Linked DNA regions of Drosophila melanogaster. The gene in region 2 interacts genetically with the main gene of each other region. Each region holds a gene or a part of one and is shown on either strand. Other genes may lie near its edges.

Region 1 (7,358 bases), on a different chromosome or scaffold from region 2:
AGTTGACTGCCGCTCATATCGCCGCTTCTCGAGTAACTGAAACAGAGATCCGCGATTCGTGGCTGCACCGAAAGCAACAGATCCCAAAAAAAACAAAAAAAAATGCAAAATAAGGCAAACCCGAAAATGAATATATGCAGCGTGTGTTGTATGTACATATATACTCGTTTGTGCCATTATCAGACGAGTGGAAGAACACGGCTGCGTTTACCTGCCCTTCAGACTGGTCTTTATGGCAGCAACTAGGTGTTTCTATCTCATAATGTTTTCATAACTTGAATGATCGCATTTTCACATTAGAGCCATTTTCTCAATGAGGTTTACTTCCATAAGTAAGTACTTCAAATCGCTTGAAGAAGTCTGCAGAAATTGAGAATGCAGCCTTTGTTGGTCCACCCTAATCTACCTGATATGTTTACCTGACGACGAGCCAGCCCATTTGCAAGTCATGTGAATCGCTATAACTTCAGAAATAATTCCACAAATCGTCTTTAGGTTTTGTCGGTCTTTTTATTTCTATTTTATTCCATTTCATTTTTAAATTTTGGTGTTTTTCTGCCCTTATAAGTGCATTTATTTGCTATCAATCGGTTTGGTTTTGTATAGATTAAAATTTTGAATATTCTGAGAATTTAGTGTGGAAACTGGCGAGAGTTGCTTTACCTGATCAGCTTTTGTTGAATCGTTTTGGGTTTTTTGATTTAAGGTTGTGGGTAGGTAGATATAGGTATACATAATACATAATTACATATTAAATAATTGCTTTGCTTTTGTCATTTCTTATAAATGGTATTTGAAAATAGCGCAATGTTGCGTTTAGTAAAAATATATTTTGGTTTCTACTGCAGCTTACAGAGTACACAATAAGTATATTTATCTCATTTCACATTTGCTTTTGCTCAATATAAAACTCGCTTCAACGCCATTATTGTTTAGCTTTAAATGTACATGCATACATATATGTATGTAGATCTCTATATATAAAGGTTTGCATTTCTTAATTCTCTCTCAAGGCATTGTATTTAGTTTGTATGCTGAATATATATTCACTTTGTTTTGTTTTATAGTATATTTACGCTTTACGATTCGTTTAAATGTACAATTTTAAAACCGGCTTAGTTCCTTTCATTAGACGCTCCTGTTTGCTTTCTACTTTGTTTCATCCTCGCATCTTTTGTATTCGTTTTATAATAAATATCACAACGCATCCTGCAAATCTACACGCCCTATTATCATCATTATCCTTATCATTCTCATCATGCATCGTCGGTCGTTCGCGTTCGCGTTCGCGTTCTTATATTTTTTGAAAATATACAACGCGCAATGAAGAGGTTTGAAAATTGCACAAATTACAAGTACATAACATATGTACATAGCTCCTCGGCGTATGTAAAAGACATAGCGAAATCATAAATTAACCATAATAAAGATAATAATACAAAAACATTAGAGTTAACGAAACAACACATTCGTCACGTTTACGCATATTACAGCATATTACAAAAATGAAAACATCTCCTACAACTAGAAAAGTGCTTCGCGGTTTCCTTCCGTTGTTTGCCTGCCAACTATATAAAACTTAACTTAATCCTGACTCGGCCCCCATCCCCGTCCCAGATCCGGTCCGGTTATAAGCTGACCAGCTTGGACGGCTCGGCGGTGGGCGTGGGCAGCTCCAGCGGGTGCTTGTTCGTGGAGGAGCTGTTCGGTACGAGGGGTCCGGAGACGGGCGTTAGCCCAGTGCCGCCGTCCATCAGGGAGTCGAAGTTGAAGGTGCCGGTCGAGGGCGTCTGGATGGGCACGCCCTGGATCTGCGTGGGCCCACCCGCCTTGTTGTTGGCCATGGTGAGGTGCATCTGGCCCAGAGGACGCTGGAAAGCCAGCGTATTGGGCCGCTCCTTAGGCACCTTGTTATGCGCATTCAGCGTGGGAGAGTTCATGTTGTTGCCGATGCTGTTGATGTTGTTGATGCTGCTGCCGTTGGAGGTCACCGGGAAGGCGCTGCCGAATCCGCCGGGCGCCGTGCTCGTGATCGGCGTCTGCAGAGATCCCGACGAGGCGCCGGTGGGCGTTAATATCGTGGACAAGTGAACGTGCGGCATCGTGGACATGGGCGGCAAGGTGATGCGCTTGCTGGGCGGCGGACCGTCCTGGTCCAGGCTGGATCCTGAGTCGATGGCGCCATCGAGTGGCTCGTCCTTGATGTGCATCAGCAGGCTATCGATGTTCGCCGCCGGCTTGAGATCCAAGGGTGAATTGCTCCTCCCGGTGGAGTTCAGCGTGGCGTCCATGCCCGTAATCGTGCCGTTGCTGCTGTCGTTGCTGTTGTGGTTGTGATGGCTGCTCGCGCCGCTGCCGCTGCTCCCTGCACTCAGGAGTCCGGCCGGGGCAATCAGACCGTTGCAGGTGACCACGCTCAGCATGTCGGAGCGAATCTTTTGGCAGGTGGCCCGGTGGGTGGCCAGAAGGTACTCCAGCTGATTCTTGCTATTCGTCAGCACCTCGATCTCCTTGCGCATGCTCTCGCCCCGCTTCTCCAGCTGCTCCACCTCCTCGGTGAGCTCGTTGGTCTGGTCCACGCGCCTCTTGCGGCAACGGGCCGCCGCCTGTTTGTTCCGCTCCCGGCGCACGGCCCGCTTCTGCTCCTCCTCCGGGGTCATGTTCGTCGACCGGTTGGGGCGTCTGCCACCGCCACGACGAGCCGGCGTATTTGAGGTATTCGCGTTGCTGCTGCCCACCGACGCCGATCCGCGGCTAGAGCTCACGGCGGCCAGGACATTGGAGAAGTTGTTGACACCGCCGCCGTTCACGCTGCCCGCCATGATGTGGCCAGCTTGGTACGAGGTGCTGTCCGTATGGGCACTTGCTGCAGGCGTATGAAATAAAAGGGAGTTAGTAGACATTCGGAGCAATTCGTGCCAGCTTCACTTACAAGTATCGGTCGTGTCCTGCTCCTCGTTCATCTGCGTATCGTTGTACGAAGCGTTGGAGTCCTCGGACTCGCTGCCCTGCCCCAGGCTCAAATCGAATGTCTGCTGAAGTGGGAGCGACGAAACACCGGTGGGAATACCCATGCCCAGGACATCAATGGCATTGGGTAGCACCTTTGGCACTGCAAATCCCGCGCAACCAGCCACACGATCGGTCTGCGTGTCCGAGAGCAAGTGGCCCAGTGTGTCCTCGATGTTGCGCGTGGTGGTCGGCGTCAACGTGGGCGTCGTCAGTGTGAGAACACTCTGGCCGGTCTCAAAGTTGCCGAGCTGCAAGAGCAGAAAAGGTGCATGATTAGTAAAGACATCTATGAGTGCAAGTATCTGAGAAGATGGATTACTATTAACGCTCATTAAAGCTCATGACAAGCACGAAACCCTCTACAATGCCATATCAGTATACATATATCACGCATACGCAGTGTTGCCCGCGAATAGCTTAAGGATGTTTGGGAATTTATTCTTATCACATGAGTAATTTGGGTCGAGTTCAGATATCAGTCAACATCAAAAGCTATTGCTAAGTCTGTAAGACCTCTTGCTTATCCGTACATTTCTAGCGAATTAGCGAACGTGTTTTTGGCCAAACAAAAAACGAAAAAAAAAGAGGCGAAGAGAGATGAAGAAACCGAAAGAGAGGCGGCCAATCCATCACTTTGTTTATATTTGCCCACCCCTTTGTTGTTCCGCATTTGTTCTATTTTCGGCGATGATTAAGTACGCATGCCGCTTGCCAATTGTTTCGCGCCCAAATCTATCCCAATCTCGACCAGAATCGGAGGCATCATCATCGATCGATCTGTGGTACCTGCTGTAGGAAAAGCTCGTTGGCGAGGAAAGTGGCTATCTCACTGGCGTCCATTGCAAAGTTGTCGCTGTGGTTGTTGTCGCTGCCAGCGGCAGCAGATGTTGCAGTTGTGCTCGTTGTTGCAGCTGCAGTGGTGTTGCATGTTGCAGCTGCAGTGGTGTTGCATGTTGTGGCCGTCAAGGCGAGTTGCGCCTGCCCAGGGGTTTCGGGATTCCAGCCGGAGGCGGAGGACTGGGACTCGGAAGGGTAATGTTGCTGCTGCTGCTGCTGGTAGTAATTAATGGGCATGCAATTGTTGTTGAACTCCAGTTGCTGCTGCTGCTGCTGTTGCTGGTTGAAAAAATTCTGCATTTGGCAGACGGCGGCCATGGCAGCCGCATTGTTGCTGTTGTGACTGCCGCTGCTGGCAGCGTAGGCGCTGCTAGCAACATGGCCATAATTGTTGCTGCTGCTGCGCAGTGGAAAAGCATTGTGGGCAACCGATTGCGATTGCTGGTAGGCTGGCTGCGTGGGCAGTTGCCGTTGCTGATGACGCAACTGTTGCTGCGGCGCTTGCTGTTGCTGCTGCTGCTGCTGCATATGTTGCTGCTGTTGCTGCAGATGATGCTGCTGCTGCTGCTGCTGCTGCTGAGCAAAATGCAGCGATTGGTGGTAGTAGGGATGGTAGCACGCATTGTGCGTCCTACCGTTGAGATTTTTCATCATTTGTTCGCTGCTTATCGATCTAAACCTAAATATTAAGTATACGCACTCGCGTTGCGTATACGCACAGTTGGGCGGCTGACTAGTATTCGTTGGGGTTCTTAGCCTAGCTAAGCTAACACAACAATTGGGACAACAATGATATATGCGAATTGTATTCAAAATCAACAAAAACAATTCAACAATCTAAGAATCTAGTTACTAGCTAAACTAGAGTATATGTACAAATTGGGACTCTGTTCCCAAAGTTTCCTAACAATGTGCTGATGATCCTTTCTTGTCTTTATAATTCCGTTCGTTTGGATGCTCCTATGCTGTTTGTTGTCGCAGTGTTGTTCTAGTTGCTTAGAAATTCGTTCGTTTTTGGCTTTGTTTCATAGCTTCTTTTTTTTGTGTGTATTGTGTATTTCGTTTGCTTTCTGCGTTGGCTCTTTCCTAATAAAGAAAAAGGGTTCGTTTGATTTGACTTCTTGCTAGCTGCGAGCCGTGAGCAGATTTCGTATATGTTCGTTGTTCGATTGCTCAGTTCTTGAAGTTTTGGCTCTCCGGCGGTCTCAGCCGCTTAACGATAAGCGTTTGCTGATTTCGCAAAGGATTGAAACGCACATTCCGCTCGGCGAAAGCGCTCATAATCGACGCAGTTTATCGTAAGTGTGCGAGGCCCAAAATCCAGCGACACGTGTCCAGTTTAAGTCGCTCCACTGTGTGAGCCGCAAATTCGATTATTATATAATTATAGAGATTTACACGGACATGGAGCCTTGAGCTAGTTCAATTAATGCTGCATTTGTTGTATTCAGAAATTCCTCGGCCATGGGCAACGCCTCTCAACACAGCGAGTGTTATGCCTCCCTTTGCGCTTTTATTTCTGGGTTTGGCTATATTTACATATATATATATATATATATGTATATTCGTATGGCATATATATTTCGATCCACGCGCTTGCAGCCGAGAAATGTGCGTTGTTTTGCGTCTATATGTATATATGTACATATAGCCGACTGATTCGTTTTTTTTGCTCCTGATTCGTTTTGGCAATGCACGCGCACCGAAAACCCAACGACAATTGCAGTTTTCCAAATTTATTTTCGTTTCGTTGTTTGAGTTTCGCGTTTCGATTCGATGCGATGCGATTCGAGGAAAAGCGCGCGCGCGATCGCTTTTAATTGTTAGATATTTTCTAAACTTCGATGGTTCGTTGTTCGTTTGCGACTGAATCGCATCAGAATCTCCGGCGAGCGAAATTGGCAACGATCGCGATCGAGAGATCGCCGCAGATGTATGCATATATATGTATATATATACATATCATATATATATTTATATATCTTGAGAACTACTAGAGAACCCGAACCCGCATCCGAATCCGGAGAGCTGTCTGCTGTCTGCTGGGCGTGTGTTGTGCGAGCTGGCTGCTCAAATTAGAAGACAGCCGCTGGGAAATCAAATGATCCTAAACGCTGGCTGCTCTTAATTGAGCGGCTGCCCACACGACGACCACGCTCGCTTTTGCCGCATTCAAAGCGAAATATGTACATTTAGTTAGCTATAGTAGAATGTGGTGGTGGCTTATGTACATATGTATATGCTTCTGCTTCCGATTTGCCGAACTTGCCAGAGGCTCATTCTTCGCTTCCACGGAAAAGCCTTTCAGTTGCCCATAAATCAGGCCCAATGTTTTGGCCAAAAGCGATGATTCCGAGTAAACATAAGCTACATACATATATACACATGTCCGATTCGACAGATGTCCCACGAACAGGTGTGTGCGTGTGGCACATCCACATTAACTATGTTTTCAGTTCAGTTCAGTTCAGTTCAGACCCCCTGTCTCGCCAAGAGCGTTTATTTCCGTCGCCAGCAAGTTGGCCAATACGCTAATTGCTGGCTTTTGTTGTGGGCTAAGAGCAACACACACACACACACATACCAGTTGCACTGGGGCTACATTTTTGAAGTAGTATGCCTTCTTTTCTCTCCGTGCAGCGAGTTCGAGCGGCTTGTGTGCTTATTTATTTGACGATCTTATCGCAGCCGTGTTTCCCAATCCCAAAGGCCGTTCCCTTATTGACAGCAAACAATCGATTTTATTCTTTGTGATATATTTACTTTTTAATTTCGTATGCGAAATTTACTTTCAACTCGGCCGCCTTGGCTGTTTGGCCACCTTTGTTTGGCTGGCTACTTTCGTTTTAACCCACTTTTTTGCCATTTGAACTTGTCCCTCGCGAACATGAACCGCATTTAGCCGATGATGAATCAGTCAATTTGGAAAATGTACGTATGCAAAACAAGTGATGATATAGAATGCTGGCAATCAAGCGCGGCGAATTGAATTGTCTAAATTGCTTGCCAGCCAGCTCGGATGGCGATCTCGATTCTCCTATCGGAACGTTGGACAGAGTCATATCTCCGGACACCGAGTTCACATCTGGGGGTCAATTATGAACCAAATGAAACGAGCAGCGAACATCGAACAGCCAGCAGTGGAGAGTAAAAAAAAAAAAGAAAAAGTAAAACACTGACGTAGCGAAAAGCAACAAATTGCTGACTAATACACGCGACTGCTGCAAATTTGATTTGCGGGCGGTTCAAGCCAAACCAAAGTGGCCCCTAAATAAATGTATGGTGACTGCAACTTACAAAAATATTTCAAAACCTAAAAATTGCCACTTCCCAAAGGAATTCCCTGAAAACTCAAACTTATCAATTGCCTGTAAATCCGCGCTATCATTTTGATTAGACCATCAACTTTGACCTTGGCTCTAATTAGTTCAAAAACACATTCACATGTTTTTAAACGCTGGGCAGAGGAGGAAGGTGAAGATGCAACAAGTTGAGTGGCTAAGAAATTC
Region 2 (4,570 bases):
TATTATTTAATTGACCGCAACTAAAGGATTCCGAGATGAAGAAAGCGAAAGAACTAAACAAAACACATCCCATCTTTTTCCCACACATACATACGTGTGCGAGTATGTGCTACGTGTGAGTGCGTTGTGCCTTTGTTTGTGTACGTGTTGGGGCATACGCGCTGTGCAAAGTGCGCTAAATTAAGCTGTCATTAAGGACTTAATTAAAGTCCTTTGTTGAAAGTTGACATTGTGTGAAAGAAACGTTTGCGAAAACAAATGACAATGGCGACGTTGTCGCTGCTGCACTTGAAAGGCTATCCCCCGAAAAAGGGAAAAAAACCCAAAAATGGCAACCAACATCAAAGCAACTACAAAGCGGCAACAACAATGCGGGCTAGAACGAGAGTGAGTGTGAGAGAGGGAGAGGCAATGAAATAGAGGGATAGAGTGAGTGAACATGTGTCAAAAATTTTCAACAGTATCATGATGCAAGTGCTCCTTTGGTCGCACGGTCGGGTGCGAGGGGGACGACTAGTGTGGTGATTCTGCGAAAACTCATTAGCAGGCAAACAGAGAGAAAAGGCCAGGCAGACACAATCAACCAGTGGCGTGCGCAAGGATTTCTTGTGGGGGTTAGCCAATGATTGCGATCAAAATTATTAAATTTTAGTTGGAAACGTTTGCACTATATTATAAGTTTCTTACCTTTTTTTTCTTTGATGGTCACGTACCACCTGAGCTGATCAGTGCCTCAAACAATCATCATTAACATCTCAGCTGAATAATTGAATAAACTACAGCCCCTACGCCACTGATGGAAACGAAAGCACGCACAGGTGGCACCCGTACAATAGAAAATATCAAGGAGATGCGAAAACATAACCGACTTGCTTTTTAATTAAATATTTTGCCAAGCAGACACTCAAATGCCAGAGACACTAGCAAACTGCGTTTAATTGCCGCTCGAGGCTGCTAAATGCAAGGATTCGTCTGCATACCTGCCATCCATCCATCCATCCTGCCGCCCGTTTTGTGTGTGTCTGGGTTGGCAAATGTTTGCCTATTGCCAAAATTGTCGTTGTCCTTGTTGTCCTTGCTAAAAATCACTTTGCCGCTTCCGCACGGTGAAGTACGAAAATTGAATACCGCCATTCTGCAACGGCATTTTGTGGCAAGGAGCAAGGATTATATCGACAAATGAAAATCCACGACGCTCCACGAATATTAAACAAAGTTTTGTGTCAACAGTTTTTACCTTTTCTTAAGAATAATTTAAGAAATAGTTAAAATCGGCTTGAATACGTCAAAGAAAATATTATATTATATATTAACTAACTTAAAAAGCAAGCGCATTGTAAACAGACAAAAATAAGAAAGCATATTTCAAAGTTAGCCAAAATAAAATCTAAAACTTCTGATATAAAGAGAAAAAGTTATGCAAATTATATATATTTTAAATATTATTTTCAAACACGATCACCATTGTTGGTATATACCAAAAACCCAAACGCGTGACTGCGATAGTCATTCGACTTAAACGCGCTAGCGTTTTTCTCACATCTGCGCGATCGGAGCGATCGTGCGTTGTTGTTGTTTTCTCACTTCTACTTGTTGTCGGTTGTTCTTTTGTGTTTGGTGTTTCCGCTCGAGATTCTTGGGCATTTTACCAGTGTTCCCTTTCGTGGCGGAACTTGTTTCGCATCGGTAAAATATCTGAAATGCATTAGGCTTGCAACTATCTAATTGGCGTTTTGCAGTTCATTCAATTCGGAGTTCGATTTTCGAAATTCCAATAAACCGAAACTCCCAACAACAACTCAAGTGTGTATCTCTGGCTTTGTTGTTGCGTATGTGTGTGTGTGTGAGTGCGTGAGCAAGTTTGTGTGCGTGTGGGTTAAAGGCAAATTTTAAACTGAAAGCAAGGAAATATTTGCAGATTCATCATTTATTTATTGATGCAGTGCCTTGTAAATAGTATAAACTTTAAGAAACGCGCTCGTTCACCTTCCTTGTCTCTTTCCCACTCTCCAGCGTTGAGGAATTTTCATTGTTTCCCAATATTGTTGCTTTTTTTTTTGTTTTTCCGATGCGTGGGCATATAATAAACCAGTTTAACGTTTCCTTTTGCCTTTATCTTCATATCGCACATGCTTTCCGATGGCTAAATGCGTTGAAATCGAATTGAAAACCGAATTGAACACAGAACTGTGTAAAATGCATTACGCCTTTATGCGCCTGCAACGCATACATAATTAATCCGAAACGAAATTGGCACTACGACTGCGGGTCCAAAAAAAAAACATATATATATAAGGAGAAAAAAATAGCAGAGGGGTGCTATAAATCGCCCAAGGAAAGAAGTTTATTTTAAAATCCATTTGCCAGTGAAATCAATTCCATTGCAATTGCCGCAAAAGTGTGTAAAAATAATACAAGTTAAATGTGTTAACAGTTATTCGTGGGAAAAAACGTGCCGGTTTTTATTCATCAAACGGTAAAATCAACAAGCAACCGCCTCTCGCTCGCTCTTGCACTTTAATCCAATTGAGGTTGGTGGGGTCGCATTCGGCCCCCGGTCGACCACCCCTCTCGCTCGCACCGCCCTCGCAATGTCGCTTCTACAGCTATCGCCGCTCCTCGCACTCCTGCTACTCCTCTGCAGTAGTGTGAGCGAGACAGCTGCGGACTACGAGAACACCTGGAACTTCTACTACGAGCGTCCCTGTTGCACTGGAAACGATCAGGGGAACAACAATTACGGGAAACACGGCGCAGGTAACTAGCCAACTAACGGTATAAAAAGGGGCGGGAACACGGATTAAAACACACTTGTAAAATAAATTTTCACTTTTTGTGCCCTTTTTTCGAGGGGCTTTAAAAATTAAAAAAAATGTTAACAAAATCTTTTACTAGTTCACATTTCTTCGTAAAAACTATGTGAAATGTATGTTAATGTTCGTTACACTTAAAACTTAAGAATGAAAACATTATTTAAAACGCTATTTTACAACTTGATCATAACTTAAGTATGTATGAAAAAAATGAATTAAAATTGTTTCGCATTACTTATATTTTGTACAGGGTACTTAAATCGTCGGCTTACACGAATAAGACAGCTTTTTCCCCTTTTTTAACTGCGGCCAATATTATTTTTCAATCTTTCAGGCAACAACAAATTTGTAATTTATTTGCCATAATATTCGCACATGTTCTTTGTGCCTTTATTATTTATCTCGTTTGGTTCGATTTCAATTGCAACTATATTTTTTCGTTTCGGTTTGGGCCATTTTCCATTTCTGGCTCGGAGCATTGTGATTGTTGTTGTTTTTTATAATTTGCATATTAATGCGGTGCATTCATAGTGAATATTGCTGGTCCGCGCAATTGTGAATTGTTGCTATTCATATGCATATTTCATGTTTAAACAAATACCAATAATGTAATCATATTTTAACCATATGCAGTCCTATAATCCACAGAGATAAATCCTGAATGATATATAATTGACTGGGTTCCCTTAATCCCCCCCTCCCCTACCACTCTAGAAAAATGTGAATGCTTTACCATTTAAATGTTCAATCTACCTAGATTTTCCGCTGTATTTTTTTACAAGCCCTCTGTTTCGTAGACTTGGCCAGCTTTATTGAGTCATTAAAGCCTAAAAGTATTTAAAATTCATCTACGAGCGGCCACAAACAGGTTATTCACTTCTCTATGTCTAAGCCATGTTGGATTTTGCCAATAATTTTGGCCAGCATTCATTTATCATCGTGCGGTTGATTGAAAAGTTCCCCAGCATACATTGAATGTGGCTAGAGAACAGCAAAAAGCCATCAAGTATCAAGAACGCAGAAAATGTTGTATAAAAAATTTAAATCTCATTTAGCCAGGCTGGCCAAACAACAACAACAACAACAGCAATCCGGGTCAAGACCAGTAAACATTTTCTAATAGTCCACGTTCCGGAATGCCTGGCATGCCGTCCCCCTTGTCTCCACTATATCTTTAACTATAAGCCATAAGTGCAGCATAAAACTTCACGTGCCGACAACAACTTTTTGGTCCTTGCCGCATGTTGCGCTGTAAACTCAATAGCTAAGCACTTGCCCTAAAGGAAAACGTGAGACGATTAGGGAATCGTTCAAGCTGCTTGCGCATACTTTTCCGGGAGTTATATAGCAAAATCTATATGGGATAAGTCCGAAATGCATGCAGAAGGAGCTACAAAGTTCGAAGGTTGGACATTTGCACCAGATGCACTATATAAACCGATCGGCGGGCCATAAATTAAGGTAAAACCAACTAAACCACAAAAGCCACCGAACTGAATAACAACAAAACTCTAAAATGTCAACTATAAATTCCCCCGTTGATGCGGAATATTTATTGCATGTTTTTTTTTATCTTCTTCTTCTTTTACCCGTCTGTAAATGAAAAAGCACTATTTTCATTGATTTAAATGAAATTAATTGCACTTTATTTTAGGGTAGTACAAAATTTATGCCTCTCTATGGCATTTGTGAGTACCAATGCGGCCGCAACGTCCTCTGTCGCCACCTCGGCCACTTCAATTGGTTGACTCAGCGGT
Region 3 (4,557 bases), 420 kb from region 2:
CAAACATAAAACAACGCAATGCCATAAAGTTCAAGCCAACAACACACACAGCGCCACTTACTCACTCTCGCACACAAATAAATAAGCAAGCGAACACAGATACTAAGGCGTTGATGAAGACGACAGACAGCAGATACAAGAGCAACAACAACAAACAGCGATCCAGTGCCGGCTGGTTGGAGAATTGGACAGCTGCCGCCATGATAGATACGATACTCGCACTCCGGCCGGCCTGGCCAAGTATTTCTGTACTTTAACGGGCCACGGAGAAGCGCAAAGCAAAAAGAATTGGTACTAAGAAAAACAAGGCGACTGAACAACGAAGTGTTGATCCCCTTACTAACTAACTAACGAATACAAAAAATGAAATTTAACATCAGTTACAGTTTATAGAAAAGGTAAACTTTACATAAGAATGCATAACCTAACTGGTTAAAACAAACATAATTCAATGAATTCTTGTTATCTTTTGCTGGCAAATTGGTGCCTAAACTTCGGCTGTCTCTCCTTCAGCACAAGTTGTTTTCATATTATCATATTATCATAATCAAATTTCAAAGTTTATATCTATATAATCATTTAAGTATTATTCTTGCATTTAATTTGCTAAAATTAAAAACAAAAGGCTTTCAATCTATCAATCCAATTAATTGCGTGGGTGCCACAAAGAGAACTGCAAAAGTGAAAAGTTAAGTTTTGAGTCATCAAAAGCGAGAATGTAAGCCCAATGACGAGCCATCATCCAGATGCGAGGCCAAAACAGACATTCTTATAATTAGTGAAAAAAGCGGGCGAAAAAAGGGTCTGCACTTGACACGCAACCCGGGAAATGGTCGCTCACTCCCACACAAGCGCTAATAGGACAATCCCAACGCCCCCCCCCTCCACCGGGACCGCCCTCATCGTTGGGCCAGCAACAAATTGACGCAATCTGATTAAAAACGCATCAAAATAAAACTAACTGGTGGCGAAGGGAAACCGGGGAAATGGGCGAAGGGACAACAACCTATGCTAAATGCTCGTAAAAGTAATTTTGTTGGCCCACACACACAAACACACTTGCACGCAACACACACACGTGCAGAGACACTCACACAGAGACACGTAATTTAGGGGTGCTGGCGGAAGTGAAAAGGAAACATCTAGTCCTCTTAGAACAGCCGACGTCCCCTTTTTGCGTACGCAGCATCCGCAAAAGAGTGCCGAAAACTGAGTGGTAATGCCGGGGATTTTCTACAGTAGGCACTCGCGAATTGGGAAAAACGTATGATAAACCAAGCCAGTTTAAACAGTGGCAAGCATAAAGTTAGTTAAAGCCTATGCCGAAATATTATATAATATAATATGTACATAAATAGATAATATAACACATTCAATCAAAAACCAACGTTGATGAGTTAATCCGCTGAATGCTAAATATTGTGTCAATAAGCTATTGTACGTATTGTTCACACATTCTATGCGTTCTTGCGTCTGAAAATGTCGACCTATTTATTTTTATGGTAGTAATAAGTTTTTATTGCTTTGCCAACAATTGTATATTATGTACATGTGAGTTTTACGTTTTAAAGCAGAAATTGTTTACTCACATTAAAACAAATCTAGAAGAACCTGAAATGTAACTCATTTAAAAAATTTCATAAATGGTCGCAGTAAATGCAGTTTTAAACTTAACTTCATTTGGTTCCTGCGCACCAGGTTCCACTGTACTGAAACATTGGTGCCGTGTATGGCCAAAAATCACAGTGCGGGCGGAAACTGAGTGCCGTCATCAAAATACGCACACACACACACACACGTTGGAGAACACGGGGAGAGAGCAAGATAGAAAGGGGCAGACAGATGAAATCAGAAAAAGGAGAAAAGGAGGAGGAGGCAAACGGAGTGACAGCTGCCCCATTCGCATCCGGGAAAAAGTGGCCGCTAAAATCATTTGTTAAGTGCGGTGGCCATGACAACTGGACCAAAAGTCGGAGGGTCCTGCTTCTGGTCAGATTTTTCAATTTTTACATCTCCCTCTGTGCAGAACGCACACACATATGCAAGTATTTCCATCATCATCCACACCAGCAAACAAAACAAGAACAACAGCCGTGTGCAGCCTCCTGCCCCCTTTTACACGCAGAGAAATAAAGTATAGCAAGTCGAAATTTAGTCGAAATACATTTTAATGCAATTTTATTCATCCTCTTGCTTGATAAGGCTAAATAATATGCTTTTATAAAAACAGACTGCGTTCGAGACCCTCAGCGAAACTTTTTCTAACGAGAATAACTTTTCGATATCAAAATAATTTATTCATTATTTCGTCCAGTGCATCCATTTCGCTTCCGTGTTTCGAAATTCAATTTATGTATACTTTATGGAGCCGTAGCCGGCTCCCCAAGCTCCATTTCGCCCCCCCTTTTGCCCAGTGAGGCGGAGAAAATTGTAAGTTCAGGAAAATCGATTTTCTTGTTGTATTTTTTCTGCCGTTCTTCATTATTTTTTTGGCTGGCTGCAGACATGGCTAATTGGAGTTCTTTTTGTTGGCATCAGCTCGTGAACTGAATGCTGCAGTTTGCATCTTTACTCACCTCGTTGCGCTATTTTTAATGCACCGGATTCGGATTCGGATTGCCTGTTTCGGGGATTCGATTCGGGACTCTCCTGCCCCACTTCCCCACTCTTTTGGCCAAAGAAATTGCGTCCAGAGAGCGACACTCACACTCGCACGCACAAACACACGCACGTACACACGACTGCAGCAATGTTTCTCTTCAATTGCAGAGCGCTTTTTTATTCTATTTTCACGAGCTCACTCGCGATTTTACGCACTTCTTTTCGGCGACAACTATTTCGTTTGAGATAGTAATTCCGTGGAGTAATTATGCTTCACATGCTGCCTGTTTTCCGAACACTTTTCACTTTTCTTTCTTTTCTATGCAGCTGAATGGGAGCAGAAAACAAACGCAGCCCTAACGGCACCGAGTTGTGGTTGTTGTTGGCTAGGCAGTGTGACCGCAACTGAGGGTGGAAAAGAATCCGTTGCGGAAAATATACCGAAATGTATCTTGTGGATTCATTTGCAACAGCTGCGCTGCCACAACCATCGTGGGTAGCTAGAGATGGCACAATACCAATTCGATATATGTACAACCAAACATATTCATTCCATATTTAAAAAGTTTTCGGTTACTTTCAGATCCATTCAATTAAAAGCGGTTTATCTAATTTGTCCCCATATGGTGGTTTTCCATTTGACCAATATTATGACGATTTTTTAGATTAATTGTATGATTCCATCTATATGTAATGCATTTTACATGCTAACGTAAAATAGCATGCAGCTAAGTTCGAAATTTCGAACCCAATGGTCTGGCAACGCCAAAGCGGCTTACCGGCTGTTCAGGCGGTATTATTCGGACTTCATGCGGTCATACTAACTGGAAATTACTTAACATGCTGCAAGGAATGCTCCAAAGGCGAGTAAATAATGAATATACCATTTATTTTGAGTGGTATAATAACATACATTGGCATTGCAGGACCTGCCTGGCGGTTGTCAGCACCGCACAAACTCTAATCGTGCGGGATAAGCACGCTTTCAACCGGGCGGTGCTGAAACCGAAAGTACGCTGCCATTTTCCGAAACCCATGGAGGTGAAGAGAATTAATGTCCACGGCTGGAATGCTAGGATGTCGACGCCTGAGGGACGACGAGTGCTGATGAACCGGATCCTCAAAGGACGTCACAATTTGTCACACTAGCCTTGTGTTAATAAACCTAACTTTATTTACAATGTTATCCGATTGCGATTGCTACAGTAAGCTCAGTTTTAGTTTCGTTGATTCGCTGGTACTCCCAGAAAGGCTGGCGCTCGATGGTAGATCTGCTGAATACTCTTCGAAGATTTCGAATCGTCAAGGATGAACACGAAGGGCACACTGCTGGACACACCTTGGCCCTGATCCCGAAGGAAGCCCTGCGGCAGGGACTGTTCCCCGCCGAGGATAAGACAATCCACCAGGGACATCTTTTGTAGCGGCATTGCTGGCACCAGGTATAACTCCTTGCGCTCGTAGTCGATGGCGCGAACCACACCTAAAAGAATTTTGGAATTCAATTAATAAGCCACAAAAGAACGTGAATGTGTACAAACCTATTCCCAAACATTGGGGCAGACCTGCTCCGTGATGGCACAGATATACTACATTAGCCTCCATGCCTCGAATCAGTTCTTCGCGCGAGTAATTCTTGCTGGTGGGATGCAGGATTTTCAGGGATTCCAAAGACACTCCCAACGGCTGGCAGTCTGTAAGAGATTTGGCATTTCCAGTCAGGCAGGAACTGAGACGTGCCAGAAGATTGGAGTACCGCATGTCCTTGGCGCTGAGACTCCAAGTTCCTTTTTCCCTTGCAGGCACTGCACTTATCAGCTTATGGAGTGTGTATTTTGGTATTTCATTGATCTTGAACTCCTCCGCAGAGTATATAATTGGTTTTATCTGCGACAGACTGTTCCGGTCGAGGACAGAATCAAAGTTATTGATTGGAATGGGACTGGCAATCTGTAC
Region 4 (6,847 bases), 8.7 Mb from region 2:
GAGCTTATAATAATGTCTTTCTTGGATAAGCGCCAGTCTTAGAATTTGTGAGCAGAAGTCTGCTGGTAAAAATTATAATTTTTCAGTTTAAATAATAACGACAGTAAGTTGGGTGCGTCGGCGGTTCTTTGCCAGCGAAGGCCTTAAATTCATTTTCAAGGCCTTTTATTTTTCATTCCTTTGCGGAACACGAAATATTTAAAAAAATCGTAAACTCATTTGAAAGTTTTCTATGTCCAACACCAAACTATTTACTCGGCAGCTAAAAAAAAAGCTTTTGAGGGTGAGGATTGGGGGTTCGAATAAGATATACGTACCTATCTACACTATAAAACTGGCAATTACCAGTTTATTCCCGTTTCTTCTTTTAACTTATTTATAATAAGCTTTTATTGGTAAAATTAGGGTAAACAGTTTTAGCATAAGGTTTATTTGGCTAACATTACGTTTAACTTTTTAATTATTGAATTGTTTTTATTTACGTATACGCTCATAGAGTATGTTTACAGAAGTCTAAGCGAAAAAAGCCTAAAATGCTAATAAGCATCACAAAACGTGAGCATTTGTCCTGCGTCTCACTCTTTTACTCCGTTTTATATATGTACGTGTGTAAGTACATAAGACGTTCTTTATGTAATACTTGTACATACAATTTTATATAGAGGGGGCTGCCAGGATGAAGCCTTTTTTGGCTGTTGAAAGGGGCACAAAGAAGAGAAGGCGTCAGTTCCGCGGCATGGCTGAACGGGAGGCGATTGGTATGAGTGGGTGGCGTCGACTTTCTTTCATAGCATTGTAGATGTTTGCTCTCTCTCTCTGGAGATTAAATGGAAAAAACACTGTGACATTTTCTGACTGCGCGGCGCGATTTTTATATTCGTTTTTGCTCAGCTGCTGCCGTTGCCTGCAGACGTAAATTTAAATTCCAGTGAAGGGATGGATGAATAAAGGGGGTGACGTGGGGAGGAACGTGGCGACGGCATTAGTGGGGCGTCTTGTGGCAAATGTAAAATAATGCGAAAGGGCTTCGTTTGCATAAATTAAAAATTTATGTAATGCTGCCCGTTTTCTCTTTTACGAAAAATCGAAGAAAGCTGTGGGTAATTTTCTAAAGCGGGGTTGCTACGAATATTTTTTGCTTTACACAATTATCTCATATGTATATACATATATATACATATATATATTTATATTCATTTATTTTTGGTTTCCCAGACAGCAATTTTTAAATTTAACATAATATATTTCGATTTTTATGTAATAAATACATATTTGCCGATGTATACATATGTATTTATTATTGATATAGGTAGAACATTAAATTAGAGAAGAAATAGTTATGACAAAAAGTAACAGTTTCGTTTACTATATGCTAGACTGACATATCTAATGCAATCATGTACCATAAAATACATTTTCTAGTTTATATTTACTGACGTATTTTACAAGGTGTATGTGTGTATGTCTTTAAAGGGTTAAAATTAGCAACCCCCTAATTAACACATATAACTCTTATTTTTTGATACATTGCACATCCCTAGCCACAATTAGGATTATAATTTATTTACATAAAAATTGACTTGTGATTTTATAAATTTAATTATATCTATTGGGTTAAACGTCGAATGTTGCTGTACACAATTAATATGATGTCTTTCGTGCGCTGACTTTCAAATGATTAGAAATGCACTCTCTATTTTAGTTTATAGCTCTTGTATTCTTTTAATCTTGAGGAACTTGTATACCATACATTTGAATGAACAAAGAAAATTACATATTAATTTGTTACATTATTATGACTACAACGTTTTAAAATAAAAGCAGTAAGCTTACCAATGAATAGAACGAAAAATTGCACTAAATTTATTTCAAATTGTTATTGTTATATACAACCTTATATACTTTTATATGTAATTTGAATTGGCCTAGTATTTAAAATTAATTTCTTATTTTAGGTCCATTTAAATATGCATCAAAATTTTAATACATATAAATTGTTTATGCTTCGTAGTTTATATTCCTAAGTCTTGTATATAAATTCAGTTGAATTGTACGATTGCCAAATTGTTGAATGTATATACTGTTTAGCTCACAACAATTTCGATACAGAGGTATTGGAGGTATTTGGTTATAGCAATTTCTTCCTGTGTATTTGGTTCAAGTCTTACAATTAAAACTAATAGTTACGAGTGTTAAGATAAGTGGGATTACTATACTTTCGATACGCATTGATCTACATTAGGTTATTATTTTGGAATATATATTAACGTTTCTTATAGTTTGCAACAAAAAAAAAAAGATTTTCAAAAATGGATGCGTAAACTGTGTTTAAGTTATGGCAATATGAAATAAAAGCGGAATCAGTTAAATATTAACGTTACCATTGATTTTCTTTTTTCTTTATTGTTTATATTTGAAGCAGCAACAATTAAACCAAATATTTATTGAAGTATAAATATAAAAGTGTACATTTAAGAATGATCTTTAAAAAAACAGGATTAACTAAATTTTTATATTTAATAATAGTTTTAAATAGAGAATGCAAACAGAACAATTATCAAACAAATGTTTTTTATTATTTAACTTAAAGTTAGTTTTGATTTGAAGATTATTGGCATTGTTTTCTTAAAGAATTTGATTAAATTATAAAAAATTAAGCTAATAAATTAAATAAAATTAGTTATAGATTTCCTAATTAAACTTCGTGTCTTTTATTTTTCTGCAACAATGCATGTTTAGAGCGCCGATTACTTTACAATTGGCAGCTGTGTAAGCTGAATATGTACAATTTAAGATTCCGAACCTAAGAATATAACTTAAATTTAAGGTAAAGAATGGCACGACATTTTCGATTTGATTTGGTGGGGTTTGGCGGTAACAAGCATACGGTATGGCTTACTTTGTACAATTTCGACTTTTTTGTATGTTATTTTTTTTTAAACTTGTACTTATCATTATATTCCTGTTGCAACAATTTTTACTTTCCACTTTGAAATAGCAAAATTTTCAATTTTGTGTTAATAAATGCCAGTCAATTTCATCAAATGAAAACTGATTAGGGCTATGTACAATTCGGTGTGGTACTGGCCTAATGTTGTTGATGGCCCATATAAGAAGCCGGGGCATCATCTAAATCATACAAGTCAATATCATCGGTTTGCTCGTGAGATCCGATAGAGCGAGGAGAGTGCATGCTCAAATCCTCTGGCTCGGTTTGCTCAGGCATATCACTGGGTACGTGAGGGATTTGCGGTGGAGGCAGCCGGAAAACCCGACGAATGTCCTGTGCCTTGCGCCGTGCGATGTTGCTGCAATGGCCATCCACAGAGCTGGCTCCATCTTCAGACAAATCCAATGGACCATCGTCCTCCGGTGTCGCTTTTTCCATGTCGACCGACTCATTCGAACCTCCGTAGGTGGCACACATTGCCGCAAATCTATTCGTGGATGCCTCGATAGCAATTGCGGAGATTGCCACGGGGTAATCTCCACTCATGGCCGGTGAAAGCGCGGGAGTAGGCGGCGACTGGATGCCACACTTGTGATTCATCAGATGGTGGCGCCGTCGGAACTTCATGTGACACCGTTCGCACTCGAACGGCTTTTCACCGTTGTGTACCAGCATGTGGGACTTAAGCTGATTGGAGTCACTGAATTTGCCATCGCAGATTTCACAAGTATAGGGACGCTCTCCAGTGTGGACTCGCAAATGTCGTCTAAGATTGGCCACCTGAACGAATTGACGATCGCAGTGCGAGCAATGATATGGTTTTTCTCCAGTATGCAAACGCATGTGGGTTTTTAAGTGATGGTCACGAGTAAACCGCTTGTGGCACTCCGGACATTCGAAAGGCTTCTCACCGGTGTGGGTGCGTTCGTGGTTCTGAAGCACGTGCTTATAGCCAAAGCTGCGTGAGCAGATTTTACAGGTGAAGCTTTTGTCGCGAGATGGATCCTTGGAGACACCGACACATCCAGCATTTCCACCCGCTCCGTCGTGCGTTGAATTAGGAGAGCTGCCACTGGAAGGCGGAGATATTGGGCCTCCCGATGTATGGTACATATCGTTTACACTCATGCTGATCTCGGTCTGAAACTCCTTCTTAACCGATAACTTTCGAGCCTTCTTCGCTGGCTCATGGTGCTGGGGAGTGCTGTTGGGGGAATTTAATGGGTGCTTGCCACTACCTAAAGGAGTGGACAGCGGCGAGTGCGGGCTGGCTGGCGGCGAATGTAAATGCGTACCCTGGGGCGGGAGCGACTGTTGGGCAGCCCAAGCCCCAAACAAAGCCGCCGGATTGTGTGGAAAGAGAGTGTTGGCCAATGTGCTCATGGGCAGTTGGGCCATGAATGCGGCAGCTTGACGGTTTGCAGCCAGAAGTTGGGTAGGTGAGAGCATTCCAAAAGCTGAGGCAGCGGCCGCCTGTTGGAGACCCATAGCTGGATAAATCGCAGCGGCGCTTGTAGCTGATGTGTTGGCCGACATGGGGGGCGATAGCGACATGGAACGGTCTAGATGAACGTCCTCTTGTTTTATGCCAGCTAATGCAGCAGCTAAGGCTAAAAAAAAAATCATAAGTTAGTATGTTTTCATTTGGAAATGTCTTAAGAGCAACGGCTTAAAAGAGAAAAAAATTTTACATATGATACATGTGTGAGAGAAAGTTTCGTACGGAGAGAACTCTTAGTGTTTTCGCAGCTCTCTATTTTCGTCTAACTAGTTTTTGTTTTGGTCGATAACGAGTTAAGTGCCGGTTCCTGTCCAAACATGTAAACAAATTCTAACTAATCGGTATGTGTGCAATTACATTACATTTGTATTTTCTATCCTAAAGACATCGGACTGTTTAATAATGAGAAAGTGATCGGGGACTCTAGAACTTCTAGATAGTTTACAAACTTGGGGAATATTTTAATTTGGTCTAATACTTACTTCGCGTTTGTGCGTCTTGAAGCATTGATATGGACATCAACAAATTCTTCTTGTGCTCCTAATTTTGTGCTCGCGCAATGTTTTCCCGCACACAGAAAACACCTATAATATTCGCCTTCGTGGTTTTGGAGCTTCAGTTTTTTAGACAACAAAATTTCATTTGAGCAATTTGTGCACTTTCAGGGATATGAATAATTTTTGTACACACTTTTGTACTTTGAGGTAGAGAGATTTCACAAAAATTGTCTTTTATAAAAGTTTACCGATTTAGCAAAATGAGGTAGTTGAAATTTGATTCGATTATATTACTCGCGGTTGTGTGTGGCACAACAAATGGTTGTTCCTTTCGCTGACAGAGCCAAATCACGACTGATACAAATTCGCTGCGTGAGCTAACTATAAGTACGCTCTGTCTCGGCGAAAGATTCTCACTCACCCTCGTACGCACACACGCCGGGACTCAATTGGCTCTCCCGCTCACACGCACGCAAATAAGGGTGCAGACAGGAAGGGAAATCATCACGGCGAAAGCGAAAAACGATCCCCAAGCCTGAGCAGGTAAAGTAAAAACTGGGTACTTCGCTGAGTTGAGTGAGTTGATTTCATCGATTCCTTTTTATACCTAAAAGTGCTAATTTTTCATATGCAAATTGGTGCGAATGAGACAGCTAGAGGTTCCTTTCAATGCAAAAGATATATAGTCAGTTAGAGTCAAATATGGACGATGTGGTTTTTTAACATAGGTTGTCGATGCGAATTATCTTCGCTGAGTAGAGGGTTTTATGACCTTTACGTTTCTAGTCAGTAATAAAACATAAAAAATCAGAACTATGTGTTGACCGTTAAAGGACATTTTTTAATGCTTATGACCACTTCCGCTTGTGTTTTTTAGAGCCTTCATAAAAACTGCACTTGCAGGAATATTACACCACATAAAGATCACGTAGAAGTTTTTAGAGTTAGTAAGGGACGCACAACAAAAACTCACTCAGATGTGCCTTTGTCATTTCCCCTTTTTACATTTGAGCTATAGAAAATAACTAATGTGTCTAAGGGGGATGAACGCCAATGGAGAACAGGGCGAAAATGAAACAGCGAGAGCAAAAGAGCCAAAATTCATGAAAAGAGATGTCACGGACGGGGTTGAATTTCAAGCGTGCGCTGTACGAGTAAACAGGAAGTAAACAAAACATCGGCTTAAGGAGTGCAGAAAGTAAGAAAGAAGGTCGACGGTTTTTTACCAGCTATACTGAGTGAGTTTTTTGTCTTCCTTGTAGCCTGTTGAGCAAAGTCTCAAAGACGTGGAAGTTCAGTTTAATGGACAACTAATTATTGGCACACGTCTAAAAAAGAAATCGTAAAAAGGAACTAGTAAAAAACGGATTCAGGTAGAAAGGAAATATAATAAAAAATTGTAAGAGAGCTGCATCGTTGAAATTTTCTTGCTTGTATAGACGTTTTCTGTGACTTTTGCGGATTGACTTTTAAATGGTTTTATGTAGATTTTTATGGCAAGGACATGCTATGTTAAATTTATGTTGAAAATCGGTATTTTTGGTTTTGTAGGTAGGCCAAGGACGCTCAGAGCTCACCGGGTGGTAAATTTGAACTACCGTGGATTTTAAGAAAGTGAAACCAAACAAAAGCAGAAAGGCACACAAATATCCTTGCTCTGCATAATGTTACGTAAAATTATAATGGTTTTGTCATCGAATGTTCGACTTCATAGAAAGTTTTTCACCAAAACAAAATTCGCAGAAGGCATTAAATAATATGCAAGCAAAGCGCTTAAAACTGACCCTATTGATAAGAAATTCTTAAATTTCGGGCTGAGCTGACCGGTTTTAGAAAATCTTCATACGATTCCTATGTTTCGGCGATTAGTCAGAAATTTTTTTTGGTTGTTTGCGTGAT

Evidence for each region.
Region 1: of Sema2a (region 2) and kay, changing one enhances a phenotype caused by changing the other (phenotypic enhancement), as found in Drosophila melanogaster (one study listed by BioGRID).
Region 3: of Sema2a (region 2) and Dg, changing one enhances a phenotype caused by changing the other (phenotypic enhancement), as found in Drosophila melanogaster (one study listed by BioGRID).
Region 4: of Sema2a (region 2) and Kr, changing one enhances a phenotype caused by changing the other (phenotypic enhancement), as found in Drosophila melanogaster (one study listed by BioGRID).

The regions. Positions count from the first base shown.
Region 1 is NT_033777.3:29,787,295-29,794,652, reverse strand, and holds kay (kayak), read right to left. Parts: upstream 5,718-7,358; 5' UTR 4,501-5,717; coding exon 3,799-4,500; intron 3,261-3,798; coding exon 2,933-3,260; intron 2,867-2,932; coding exon 1,629-2,866; 3' UTR 540-1,628; downstream 1-539. Other genes in the region: sro (shroud), read right to left, coding at 1-17. UniProt on the Drosophila melanogaster protein: Developmentally regulated transcription factor AP-1 binds and recognizes the enhancer DNA sequence: 5'-TGA[CG]TCA-3'. May play a role in the function or determination of a particular subset of cells in the developing embryo.
Region 2 is NT_033778.4:16,514,585-16,519,154, forward strand, and holds the start of Sema2a (semaphorin 2a), read left to right. Parts: upstream 1-1,565; 5' UTR 1,566-1,686; intron 1,687-1,869; exon of another isoform or gene 1,870-1,949; intron 1,950-2,335; exon of another isoform or gene 2,336-2,434; 5' UTR 2,435-2,591; coding exon 2,592-2,757; intron 2,758-4,570. UniProt on the Drosophila melanogaster protein: Ligand for transmembrane receptor PlexB. Plays a role in growth cone guidance. Required for both proper adult behavior and survival. Can function as a selective target-derived signal that inhibits the formation of specific synaptic terminal arbors.
Region 3 is NT_033778.4:16,095,552-16,100,108, forward strand, and holds the start of Dg (dystroglycan), read right to left. Parts: upstream 3,014-4,557; 5' UTR 2,577-3,013; intron 1-2,576. Other genes in the region: mRpL34 (mitochondrial ribosomal protein L34), read left to right, coding at 3,442-3,464, 3,528-3,750; CG8414 (uncharacterized protein), read right to left, coding at 3,819-4,084, 4,143-4,557.
Region 4 is NT_033778.4:25,225,075-25,231,921, reverse strand, and holds Kr (kruppel), read right to left. Parts: upstream 5,312-6,847; 5' UTR 4,971-5,311; coding exon 4,934-4,970; intron 4,561-4,933; coding exon 3,089-4,560; 3' UTR 528-3,088; downstream 1-527. UniProt on the Drosophila melanogaster protein: Krueppel is a gap class segmentation protein. It is involved in the segmentation of the embryo and in the differentiation of the Malpighian tubules.